Regions from separate parts of the Mus musculus genome. Here regions 2, 3 and 4 are each reported to be linked to region 1. The links are microRNA targets in miRTarBase. Many come from high-throughput screens and were not tested one by one. Region 1 holds a microRNA gene; each other region holds the end of a gene's coding sequence.

What was found. The annotated mature microRNA mmu-miR-1b-5p reads UACAUACUUCUUUACAUUCCA and lies in region 1 at 1,006-1,026, shown strand. An mRNA with a match to its seed (bases 2 to 7 or 8) in the 3' UTR can be bound and repressed. Matches are read on the target gene's strand: a 7mer-m8 pairs with bases 2 to 8, a 7mer-A1 pairs with bases 2 to 7 and ends in A, and an 8mer does both.
Region 2: the mRNA of Zfp462 is a reported target of mmu-miR-1b-5p. Seed matches in the 3' UTR shown: 8mer at 398-405 and 7mer-A1 at 1,265-1,271.
Region 3: the mRNA of Psd3 is a reported target of mmu-miR-1b-5p. The part of its 3' UTR that is shown has no 7-base or 8-base seed match.
Region 4: the mRNA of Tas1r3 is a reported target of mmu-miR-1b-5p. Seed matches in the 3' UTR shown: 7mer-A1 at 2,083-2,089, 7mer-A1 at 2,075-2,081, 7mer-A1 at 2,071-2,077 and 7mer-A1 at 2,067-2,073.

Annotation. Positions count from the first base shown.
Region 1 is chr18:10,784,481-10,787,606 of GRCm38, forward strand. Mir1b (microRNA 1b) reads left to right here and starts at 966; the gene lies at 966-1,087. The region is part of intron 12 of Mib1 (mindbomb E3 ubiquitin protein ligase 1); the gene reads left to right. Mir133a-1hg (a long non-coding RNA gene) reads right to left here. Exons shown (of 3, transcript XR_877177.3): 1 at 2,950-3,126; 2 at 1,226-1,401. Mir1a-2 (microRNA 1a-2) reads right to left here and starts at 1,072; the gene lies at 1,001-1,072.
Region 2 is chr4:55,080,644-55,083,643 of GRCm38, forward strand. It overlaps Zfp462 (zinc finger protein 462), which reads left to right. Exons shown (of 13, transcript NM_172867.3): 13 at 23-2,920. The coding sequence ends at 230. Among named protein-coding and RNA genes, the nearest start is that of Gm42289, 13 kb to the left of the region's middle.
Region 3 is chr8:67,694,128-67,697,253 of GRCm38, reverse strand. It overlaps Psd3 (pleckstrin and Sec7 domain containing 3), which reads left to right. Exons shown (of 16, transcript NM_177698.4): 16 at 67-3,126. The coding sequence ends at 282. Among named protein-coding and RNA genes, the nearest start is that of Gm32888, 170 kb to the left of the region's middle.
Region 4 is chr4:155,857,631-155,860,756 of GRCm38, forward strand. It overlaps Tas1r3 (taste receptor, type 1, member 3), which reads right to left. Exons shown (of 6, transcript NM_031872.2): 6 at 1,638-3,126. The coding sequence ends at 2,556. It overlaps Dvl1 (dishevelled segment polarity protein 1), which reads left to right. Exons shown (of 15, transcript NM_010091.5): 15 at 363-1,673. The coding sequence ends at 736. Among named protein-coding and RNA genes, the nearest start is that of Tas1r3, 4.2 kb to the right of the region's middle.

The DNA of each region.
Region 1 (3,126 bases):
ACTTCAAAAGGGACAGCTGATCTAAGTGCTGGATGTGACATTTCAAGTGATTCAAAACACTCCTAGACAAAAGCTGAACTTGGAAGCAACAAAATCAGTTTTCAGTTTTATTTTATAAATGAATAGCTAATATTCTCTAAGGATTGTAACAAATTATTAGTTGTGAAAATGTTTCTTAAAGAATTATGAAAACCTTTCAGACCTGTGGAATAACTAATGTAGCTGTTCATAACTCATTGTGAGAAAAACAATGTCATTTGATATAAGCAAGGACAATACAGACTCAGGTTTTTGACAGTTTGTTGCCAATATATCCTGTTTACATTTTAGTTGTGGCCTAGGGTTTTGCCATTTTTATCATTCTTTTTCATGCTGTAAGTATTAACTGCACTTAAAGTACAGATTGGGTTAAGAACTGACAAGCTGGAAAAGGACAAAAGCCAGTTTTCATGTGTGCAGTATAATTTTACTTAAAAGATAGTCTTTAAACATTATAGTTTCAATAGCTGTCAGAAAAGAAAATAATGAAACCAAAATTTTTGGCTTACGAGATCCTCTGATTTTAATAGGTTATACATTTTGCCACATGTGAAGAATAGCTATTATATGAGTAAAATCAGCTTTTTGTTGCTTTATTTTTCTTATTAGATTTGTTGGTCCTGATTTGATAGATGTGAGACACTAAAATATCCAATTGTGAAGACAGATAATGGTTGATCCTGTGTCTCACTGTTTTGCGCTAGCAATACTATTTCCTCTGTAGTAGTCACATTTTAATCACGTGAGTATTCAGTGTAGAGTGTAGTATGATTTAATGTGAAAATTAAAATCCACTTCCACGGGACTTATCTCTTCAGTACAGTATAAGGGATGTTAGTTTTCCCAGTGAATGGCTGGTCCTTTTGGAATGGGGCTGTTAGTATTACAGGTGAATTCAGAGTATGGAAGTCATCCTCCTGGAAAGTTTCCTTTAGCTTCTTCTTGGCGGACATTACCTACCCAAAATACATACTTCTTTACATTCCATAGCACTGAATGTTCATATGGGTACATAAAGAAGTATGTGCTCTGAGTAGGCACTCCTGCGCCGGCCGATAGCTGTGAAAACATGAAGCAGCCCACCTCACCCAGCTGTTAGTAGGACATTTGGATTACTTTTCTGGAAGAGTAATGGATCCAGTGCGGAGATTAGCTTATCAGAGACTGAATTTTACAACAGATTTACCTGATCCCATCAATGCCACTTCTGCTTGTGGTTCTTTTAAGCACTGCCATGCTTTGCCCTGCTGCTTCTTTTCCAAGAGATGCAGTCAGCAGAGTCTTAAGTGTATTCAGAAATGTTAGCACGCTTGCTGCTCTCTCCGTCGTGCCTCCCTCTTCTTTATAATTTGCTTCTAGATCCTTTACAGACAGATGATAATCAATTTAGTCTAAATTGTTTTTATAAACCAGATACTTCTACTTAAAACTTATTGGGAGAAACAAGTTACAGTTAGCACAGGCTTTGAAATTGGATCATTTCATTGTGTGAGTGAATTAATGTTTTTAAATGGAAATTTATTTTCAAGGTAACAGATTACAAATCATTTAGCCAAGTTTTTGTTCTGTTTCTGTTTGCATTGAATGCAAATTCAAATAGTTACGTGCTTGGTTTGTATGAGATTACTTTTTAAAAATGGTTTTTAATATAATGGAAAAGTACTAAAATAACTTTTCCAAAGTCTCCATAAAAGAGGAGAAGCACTTTAGTCTGTGAATCTCTGGGTTTTACCTTGAATATTTAGCACAAGAAAAAAAAAATAATTTGGGAGTGGCCTATAGTCACTAAGACATTTTGAAGGTTAATTCAAAAGGAGACATTGAGAAGCTTTGAGATTTGGTAAAGAATAGAAAAGGGGGTGCTGGGAGGGAAGTGGGGGAATAGGATTTCTGCAGTCCATGAAGAAAGCTAGTAAGCTGCCAACGCGGGCCTCAGTCAGCAGTGCCGCTGAGACCTGCACCGTGCAGCAGCATGCGGATGTCTGTGGCCTGAGTAGTAAGCAAGGGGAGACATTTCATAACCCAAATCTTGAAGTAGCCTTTAGAAGCTATTGTGCTCTGGAGGCAGGGATGCAGGTTTACTAGAGGAGCGAGACACAATTGAAACAACTGTTTAATTGAAAACAATAAAGACCCTGTCTGTAGTGATGTAATGTTAGTGGTAGATTGTATATTTTTGAAGTTATCTGGCATGCTGTTTGAACAATGGCATTTTTAAAACTAAATTATTAATTTGAGCTTTGAAATTAGCCTATGCCCAGATATAAATTAATTTAACAATGAGAATATATATCAGTCAATATTAGATAAGCATGCAGAAAGTCAGAAGCGTCCTTCCAAGTTGGTTCTTGTGCTTGATTTACCTGTGAGCTTAGTGTCCTGCCCCACTTACAGGGAAGAGATGTAGTGACCTACAGTAACATTGCAGTCACCACATCATGACCGTTCTTTCACACTGCTGCTGTTTCAGCACTGGTTTTATAAGCTGGGTGAGGTAAGCACCCAGTGTAAGTGAACACAGAACCTTACCTTGTAAGATACATTTGAAAGACAAGTTAAATATACAAAAACAACGTAATTTTACCTTTTTCCCTTGCTCTTCTCATAGACATAGAAAGACACATATACACAGATGTGCATGCAGGCATGCAATCTCTCTCTCTCTCTCTCAAATTGAATCAACATTAGTCATATAATTTAGAATGTAATATATCAATTATATCGATATGTAGAGAAAGTTAAGTAATGGGAAGGTTGCTACAGTGGCAAAGAGAATGTACCTAGGGTTTTTGTTAGATGAAATGATTTACAAGAGGGGAAAAGTTGCAGAGGATGTTAATTTTGTAATCTAAGATTTAAAAAAACAAACAAACAAACAAAAAACCACTGCAAGCAAAACCCTAAACACACCTCACATTCTCCCAATTAGCTGCAAGCATTCACCCAGTTTCCTGTGCCCACCAGACCATACTGGGTTCTTCTGGTGCCTCAGGAAATATTCTGCATCTTTCTTGCTTTGGGATTCTTTTGGAGGAGCAGGAGTTTGAGTTTCCAGGGTTAGTGGTAGATCTGGAGTGAAGCTACCTT
Region 2 (3,000 bases), not on the chromosome of region 1:
GTCTGCTGGTTTGCTTTTCCAGGTCATTGCATGATACCAACCAAGTGAGCAGGAACGAAATCCATACAAAGGAGATGGTGGAGGAGAGTATGCAGCTGCCCTCCATAGAGGCCAAGGAAGACGATGAGCCAATTGGGATAGACTTTCCCTTAAAGAGCGAAACAGTAACCATCTGTGTAGTGGCTGCCGACAAATCTCTCCTGGAGGATGCAGAGGCCAAAAACGAATAAGAGTTTGGTGAAATTCTTATCAAACCTTACTTGAACCGTGATGAAAATGTGGGCGGGCCGGCGTGGGCTGAGAAGGGAGGGGACAGACAGAGGAGAGAAGAAGACAGAACAAAGCTGCTTTTAGGACTGAACAATCTATTTTCAAAGCACTGGTACCTGTGTGAGTGAGTATGTAAATTAAAGTTATTTAAATGGTTGGAATATGTGGCTCCTTTCCTGTCACGACATCCTTCCTTCCGGATCTTCACCACGGAGATTTTCATCTGCTGCGGTTTGGGAAGTACCTCCCGTGGGCACGGTGGTCTCCGTGACCCTCTCGGACAGTGTGTGGAAACCGAGGCTCCCGGACACAGAAGACTTCTCCTAGGGGAACAACTTTTGGGCGCACAACTTTCTGTGCGTTTTTCTAGTTTTAATACCTTAAGCTTTTTCAAGACCTAACTGCAGCCGCTTTGGGAGAAAAAAAAATAACAAAACAGAAAACAAACAAAAAAAAACTGCTTTGCATAAAACAGTCACCTGTTTCCTAGTACCTCAGACTTAACCAAGGGAATTCTCTGCATTTGTCTGTACTACCTGTGGCCCTTGTGGTTAAATGTAGAGAGAACTGCTGGACAGGATGGTGAATGGAGAAAAAAAAAGAGTTTTAAAGAAAGGAACACAAATTGTGCTTAAAATCCCCACGTGGGTTTTATTTCTTAAAATACTGTGATTTTTTTAATTATTTTAGTAAAAAACAAAACAAAAAAAAAAGAAACAGACTTTAATTACTAGATAACTGTGTGTGAATTGTCATCTTGTATTCCAGGTAAGCTGTTTATTAGTGTTCAGCTATAATTTAGAATTTGGTAGGTTCATGTGAACTAATTTTATGGTGATCGTGGGATTTCGTTGGCCACATGTTTATTTTTTTCTCGATTTGAGTGTTACAAACACAGCACAAATTCAGTTGTTCTTTCTTCATATGAGTTGTTCTCTGTGTGTTTGTTTAATTTGAGGTCAAGGGAGAGTTAGAGGGTGTAGGGTGTGTGTGTGTATGTATGTGTGTGTGTGTGAATTTTTATAATTTTAAACATGAACATAACAAAGAGGTTAACTTCCTTTTAAATTTGTTTTTGTGTTTGTTTGCTTTTTAATTTAACTAAAGAACCAAACTCCGAGCACAGCTATGCAGTGGGGGGGGCCAGACAAGGAGGTCCCGTCACCCTTTTGGGTTTGTTTGTTTTTTTTTTTTCTCAAAGCAACACATTTCGTCTCCCCAACGATTTCTGTTACATTGGGCTGGCCTTCGTGTGTGCTGTGAACTCTGTTTTGTTTGCTTTGTGTATTGTGAGGCTGTCTCATTTCTTTGGGGAGCCATCCCTTCCGTGAGCTTGGACAGGAGATGCCGCATCCTGCAGGGAGCCTGGAAAAGTGCTTTGTCTGCGCATCTAGCTGCTCTGTTTCCCCACAGTGGCTTCGTTTATTTTATTTTATTTTTTTCCAAGAGCAGCTTAGACTGAAAGCAAGTCTACATTTATAGCACATTATGATTGTGAAAATGGGGTTTTGTTCCAAAAAGTGGAAAGGAACATTCTTGAAGCTTAGGGGCGTGTGTGTGTGGGTGGGTGGGTGTGTGCGCGTGCGCACATACGTGTGCTGGTGTTTGGATGTATGTGTGTGGGCAAATATGAGTCCTAGGTTTTGTTTCTTTTGTTGTCCTTGTTTGGGTTTTTGTTTGTTTGTTTTTTTTAACTTGGAAGGGTTGATGGGGTGGGGGGCGGGCCAGAAGGGAAAGAGGGTAAACTGAGGTGTCAGTGTCCCACACAGCTTCAGAGAAAATCCATGGAAAGATATCGCATTTGTGAAGTAAGTACGTACTTGAAAAGCATGATCTTGGTTTTGCTTTGTTTTTATTTTTTATTTTTGTTTTTATTTTTGATTTTTAGTTTTTGCTATTAAGAATTTTTATTTGTAGGATGTTTAATTTAATTTTGTTTTTAGGGATGGGGCCGTCATGTGGAAACCAGAACAGGGGGAAGTGTGAAATATCTAGACAGATTCTTCTGTGTCCTTACTCGCTTTTGATTGGCCTCATTTCAAATGTACTAAACAGTTTCATACCTGGACTGGATGTCTGTGATGGTTACCAAAAACAAACAAAACAACGAAAGGAAAAGAGAAAATAATTGTGACATGCTTCTATCACTACTTTATTTTTCAAATAACATGTAAATATTGTAATCCATTGGATTTTGTTTTGCTAACCTGATAATAAAAATATGGGACCATTATCCTTTTAACAAGGCTAGGATGTCATTTTTTTGTTTTATTTTTCAAACATATACCTGATATTTTGTGGCCGCACATTTTGGACGCATTCTGTTTTCTGTTGACTGTAATGACATAGAATTTACAAAATTTTTTGTTGTTGTTGTTTAATTTATACAGAGGACATTTTTTTTTCCAGAGCTTGAGAGAAGAAAATAAATAGCAAAATGATAACCTATTGACTCCAATAATCAGTGTTTCCTGAAACTTGATGAAAGATAGGGGGATCCTGACTCCTTGAAGCCAAGGGTTTAAACACAAAAAAAATAAAATAAAAAAATAAATAAAAATAAAAAACACAAGTAGGTTATTCAAGTTGTTTGCAACATACATTTTGTAATGAGATGTGAGAAATTAATAAAGAATTTTTTTCACATGTATTTATGTGCATCTGTTAAGTTATTTGTGGGTGTGATTACAGACAGGAAGACTGGCAATGACAAGACCAGTTTCACCCTAT
Region 3 (3,126 bases), not on the chromosome of region 1:
GCTAGGTGTGCTACACACATGTAATTGTAAACTGTACTGACCACACTTCTCTGATTTTGCCTTTAGAAAACCCGTTATGAGATTTATGTCAGCGTTCTGAAAGAAGGAGGCAAAGAGCTCCTGACTACCGATGGAAATGAGCCCGTGGGACTGAAGAAGTCACACTCAAGTCCCTCCCTCAACCCAGATGCATCTCCAGTCACTGCCAAGGTCAAGCGCAACGTGTCAGAGAGAAAAGACCACCGACCTGAAACACCGGGCATTAAGCAAAAAGTTACTTAGAATCCATCCGCGGCCAGGAGGTGCTGGTCATGGAACAAAATAGGGTTTTTCAAGATCTTTCTGGTAATCCGTGAATATATTTAAAAAACAGTCTGTGACTAAACGGTGCATTAGTAACCTTTTCTATTATATATTTTTGTTAGTTTCTGTACAGGTGTCTTTGCTCTTGAGTTCCTTTGCTTTGATGATTTGGACAACTTTATAACTAATGCACCTTTTGTGAGGAGGAGGAGGAGGGCTACAGATCCTTTCTCTTCGGCTTTCTCTTATTTGCACTTCTATACAGTTATTTTGTGTATTACCAATCAGTTGTTGTATTTTTTTTTAGGTTTAAATTTTTAATCCATTGTGAAACCCATAACTGGACAAGCATTGTGCTTTTAGTAAATCCTAGACTTTACATGTGAAATCCTGCCCAGTCACGGAGGTGAAGTTGAAAGTTCATAGTTGCTCACATGAAAATGGCAGCGCTGGGAGTCGAGGTGTCCCAAGATAGGACACTTCTGCGTTCTTCCTGGCACCTGTTGTTGGTGCTGGACACAGGACAAAAGGGAGCACGAGGATGACAGGACTGGAGACCTTAGGGAGGCACAGGAGTTTGTCTCAGGTGTGCATTCCATTCCAGCCATGCAAGGGAATTCAGAAGTGGAGTCATCTTGCTTGAAGGGAGCCTGAGGATGGCTTGATCCCGAGCCACTTTTGTTTTCTAAAGGCTGGTGGCAGTAATCAGCTCTTTGGAACTGTAGCAGTAGGATGTATGGTCTTCTATAGAAATGTTACCTCACTCCCATGGAATCTAGACTAGGAATCAAAATCATCTCTGTGATTGATACCTTTCCATCCAGGAATAGATTCATTTAACATAGATGTACAGGCATAGATCATGTCCTGGTTGAAACAAAACAATGTTGGAAATGAATACCACCTTCCCCCACACATACTCTTCTCTTTCTTTTCTATATCAAGACAAATAAGGAGCAACACAGATGCAGTTCTTCATCAAGATCAGGCCATCAGACGGGCTATGAAATCAGTCTGATCACAGTGACCGAGGATGGAGGGGTCTGATGTATGAGCAGCGTCTTAGCTTATTCTCATCTCCACCTCTACAGCGGTCTTGCTATGCCACTATTAAGATTGCTCCTGGAATTACTTGTATACATTTAATCTTATTTTTTTCCTGCATTCAAAATGGTTTCACTTTACAGTCAAAGCAGTCCCTTTACAATTTAAAGTATTAAGTAGAGTATTGTCTGTAGAGGAAGAAAAAGGCGTAAAAGGTGAACTTCCTCTGTGGCTGAAAACTGTCCAGTTTCCAGCCTTGAAACTGTATTCTCTAAAACTACTATCTTCCCATCAAAATATCTTCAAAAACTAACAGGATGACATTTAGATATTCTTTATTCTCCTTAAATATTTCCTCTATTTCGACTTGGTTAGTTGAAGGTACTATGACCAGAGAATCAGCTGCTCTTGCATGAATAGCATGATTCTAGTAAGTTAGAGTAAGCCTGTTAAAAAATCCCGGTAGTTTATAGAGACATCTCGTTAGGATGTACTAGCATTTAGTCACAGGACTGTGTGTTAGCCTGTACTTCTTTCACCTCTGTACATGCCCACCTTGCTTGTGCCCCGGAATAGTAACACTTCTCTCCAATACGGTAGCTGCTTGCTTCATGGTATTTTGCCACACTATTGGAAAAACTTCCCTAAACTTCTATCTTGTTTAAGTAAAGGCAGTGATTTAATTTATATCTCAGAACCATGAAGCGAATATGATAGTTAACATTGTGGCTCCATATACCTGAACTATTTCATAGCATCCTAGTGAATCCAATATTCCCCAAGCAAGTTGCCTTTCTTCTAGAAGGTGAACTATCACTGTCTGCTTTTTGCCTAAGTATTTGTAATCCCTGAAGGGAAAGGTACCAAGACCTTGGAGTCTTGAGCATCATCTTAGAGCATCAGTAGCTGAACAGTTAACATGTCTAAATGTGTTTGTCCACAGTGTGTGCTATATGTATAGAATGTTTGTGTGTACTTATGTAGAGTATCTAATATACATTGAATGGTACCTTGCTGCAGAGTTTCTGACATGGAGAATTGTCTAGGACTACCCTTAGCATTAGCTCTGCCACTGTTCCTGTTACAGGACTCACTAGTGTTGGCTCTAGAGCTTCTGGACATGCTTATAGATAATCAGATCACAAAGGCACTTTTAAAGCTGTGGACTACTCTGTCTACATCATTTATCTTGAAAAATAACTGAAGCAGTCTTTTGTGAGTCAGAATCCCAGCCTGCCCTAGTGTAATGCTGTCTACCTTTGGGGATAGGCTAAAAATGTGTCTTCCCTGAGGCCTCTGGAAGGATGCTGCATTCTCAGATCTGATGGGACTCTAAGAGTCTGGCCCATAGTCAGCCCCATTTCTCCCACAGTATTGATTCCTAAGAAATGGAAGGTGGTCCATTGAACAGCTCTGCTAAGCCTGTTGCCCAGTACACGGTACCGGGAGCTCTTGTCCCTTTCCTTTCCATGGTACTTCATCCTGTCCCTCCTATACCTACTGTCATCCCTACCTCGGTGCCCTGGAGTCTTGGAATTCCTCTCCATATGATAAAGCATTATTTATCTTACATTAATACCTTAAAGGATGGTTCTTAGTATTGAAAATATGAACAAGACATCAAAAGACTTTGATGATAGTCTTGTTGAAAAACTGACCATTGAAGTACCCCTTGTATAAAATCTGTGTGTATCTTGGGCTTCACCCCTACCCCCACATGCTAGCTTCTAAAAAGATTTACCAGGAACCCAGTTTTAAAAATTCTACTTAGAGTCCTTG
Region 4 (3,126 bases), not on the chromosome of region 1:
ATGACCAGGGTCCTGGGGTTGGGTGGACCCTGGTTGGGTCTTTGGGTGGTGAACCCAGGATGGCTAATGGGAATGCTGGGCACACAGGGCCTTCGCTGGTTTTTAGTTTCTCAGCTGTAACATTAACCCTTGGTTCAAGCATTGGGGTTAGGTGTGGGGTGCCAGGCTGGCCCCTGTTGTCCCTGCTGTCTGCCACTGCCCCTAGCTTCTCGCCTCTCAGCTGTTCCTGGTATCTGCATGGCTGCCATTCCCCTACCATCTCCAGGCTTACCAGGTCCTGCCCTGACTGTCTGGGAGCAGCTGGTGGCCCTGGAAGTGGCCAGGCCTCGTGCTGACTCTGTTGTCCCCTTCCCTCCCCCTAGGGAGCAAGAGCAGTGGGTCCACACGGAGCAGCCATCGGACCCCAGGCCGAGAGGAGCGCCGGGCAACTGGAGCTGGGGGTAGTGGCAGTGAATCAGACCACACAGTACCAAGTGGGTCTGGTAGCACCGGCTGGTGGGAGCGGCCTGTCAGCCAGCTTAGCCGTGGCAGTAGCCCTCGAAGTCAGGCTTCAGCTGTTGCCCCAGGGCTCCCCCCACTGCACCCCCTTACAAAGGCCTATGCAGTAGTGGGTGGGCCACCTGGAGGGCCACCCGTCCGGGAGCTGGCTGCTGTCCCTCCAGAACTTACAGGTAGCCGCCAGTCCTTCCAAAAGGCCATGGGAAACCCCTGTGAGTTCTTTGTGGACATCATGTGATGATCAACCAATGTCTTCAGCGCTGCCTGTGGCTGAGTCTGTGCTCCTGCTGTGCCAGGAGCTCTGCGCTGGCCGTGGTGGTGGCCAGCCAGGATAGATCAGCTGTGGGCTCTGGGCCAGGGCAGAGGGAGCAGGCTACAGAGGAGGGCCTGAGGGCAGCCATACCACCAGGATATTGGCTTGACATTTTGTCTGCTCTTGGGGCTGCTGATGGTGGTACAGCTCAAGTATCTATAGAGTCTTGTAAGGAGACATCTCTGACTTTAAGTCCTCAGCACAAGTCTCAGGGACCACCTCCTGGTTCCCTTCTTTGGAAGTGACCTCCATTTAGAACAAGAAAGGCTCTCTTGGGCTCTTGGTACCCCTTGCCCCAAAGCCTCACAGAACTGTGCACAGGGACACAGGCTGACTGTCGCTAAGTTCATGGGCCTCACCTGTCAGGCCAAGGTGGGATTTTTGAGGGGTTAGACAGAGCCTTCAAACCTCTCTGGCTGCCCAGGTGGGGTCTAACTTATTTATTTATTGCTAGCCTGCCTGCTCTAAGGGTGGCAGCTAGTTACCCAAAGGGGCAGTTTGCATGCCCCTTTCCCCACCTGCTACTTGGCACATGACAACACAGTTTGTACTGAAGGTATGTGAAGGGTAGCTAGTAGGAGAGACAGGAGAGAGACCTGGCACCTAGCCACTGTCTCAGTCTCAGTGGTGGGTGACAGTGAACACAAGAGCTGCAGAGCTGGGCCCTGTTCTGTTTCTGTTCTGGTGGCTGCCCATCATCATGTGCCACTGCCATCCCGGCACAGCGGCCCCACACATCTACACTAGACACTGTGTCAAAGTCTGAGTGACTGGGTAGTTGACATAGAGCTGCTTCTGTGTAAATGCTGCTTCTGTGTAAATGCTATTTTAAACACTAAAAAAAGCGTTTAATTTTATGGGACTGATGTGTGGCTTGTTTCTCTTTTCTCCAGCTGAGCTGCTCCGGGATTCAGGTGTGGGGGCCAGTCCAGAACTGACCCGGGTCTGATCCTGCCTGCAGATGGACGATGCTCTTGTCCCTTGCCGCTTAGGCATGTGGCTCTGTCCCTGGTGCTGGCCAGTAAGGGGCCTTGCGGCAACTTTTCTGTCCTTGGTACTAGAAGCTGATTCCAGGGGTCCCGCGTGGCTGGCGCTGGCCGTGGTGCTGACCCGCACCCTGTGTGTGATCTGTCCAAGGTGCTGGCGGCGACCTGGTTCTCTCCTACAGGCTAGGGCTCAGCTAGGGATGGAGAAGGCTGGATGTTGCCTACCTCCTGAGTGTCCTCTGCCTGATGTCTTTCTTGTTCTGTCCTGATACATACATACATACGTACATACACACACACACACACACACACACACACACACACACACACACATACATGCCCAGCCTTCTATTCCTGGGACGCCTGGACAGGGTGCTGAGTGAGGGCTCAGGGCTGGGCATGTTCAGGCAAGCAGTACCTTCTGGTCTCCCATGGTCTGCCTGGGGAATTTCTGAATTCAAAGTATGGCTATGAAGTCCCAAAGAACCTTTTGTGGGTCACCTGGGCAGGCCTTAGGTGGGCATAATAGGATCAAGGATAATCTTGCTTTGAAAGGATAGGTGGGCTCATAGGGTCCATCTTGTGCACTGCAGGCCTTGGGGGTTTGGGGAAGGGGTCACTGTGAGGCTAAGGTCAGTGGAGTCCAAGTCTATAGTTAAGTGTCTCACGTCTCAGGCTGAGGTACTATTCGGGGCTTGTTGGCTTAGGAGATTTCTGGTAGGGCTAGGTTCCCTAAAGGGAAGGTCACGGGTCAGTGGTCATTCATTGTGTCCCTGAGCTGCCTCACCACCGCCACTGTTCTCATCTGCTGCTTTCTTGGCATTCCTTCCCAGGAAGAACTCCTGGGTGTTGAGCTTTGGCAGCCAAAGAAGCACATAGCACTTGGGCAGGTGGAAGGTGACCAGGATGCCCAGGGCACAGACTAGGATAGCACCCATCTGCACAGCTGGCTGGTAGGCCACCTGCACATTGGCCAGGAGGGGCACAAAAGAGACCCAGGTGATGAAATAAGCTAGCATGGCGAAGGTGAGACCACGGGCACGGTTGTAGCGGCCAGGCTGGCTCTGTACCAGGAAAGTGCCCAGAAAGCAGAGGAAAGCTAACATTGCATTGGTGATGTGCACCAAGCCCAGGCTGACCCAGGAACGCACGTGGCAGTGCTCCAGTACCTCTGTGGGCAGCACTGACCAGTCTGTCACCACCTCTGGTGGGAAAGCGATCAAATACCAGGCACATAGTGCTGCCTCCACAAAAGTGGCCAACAGTACCACTAGCCAGGCCCAGAGTCCCCGAAGGTAGCTGCATAGCCAGTTTGCCCAGCTCAGTGGC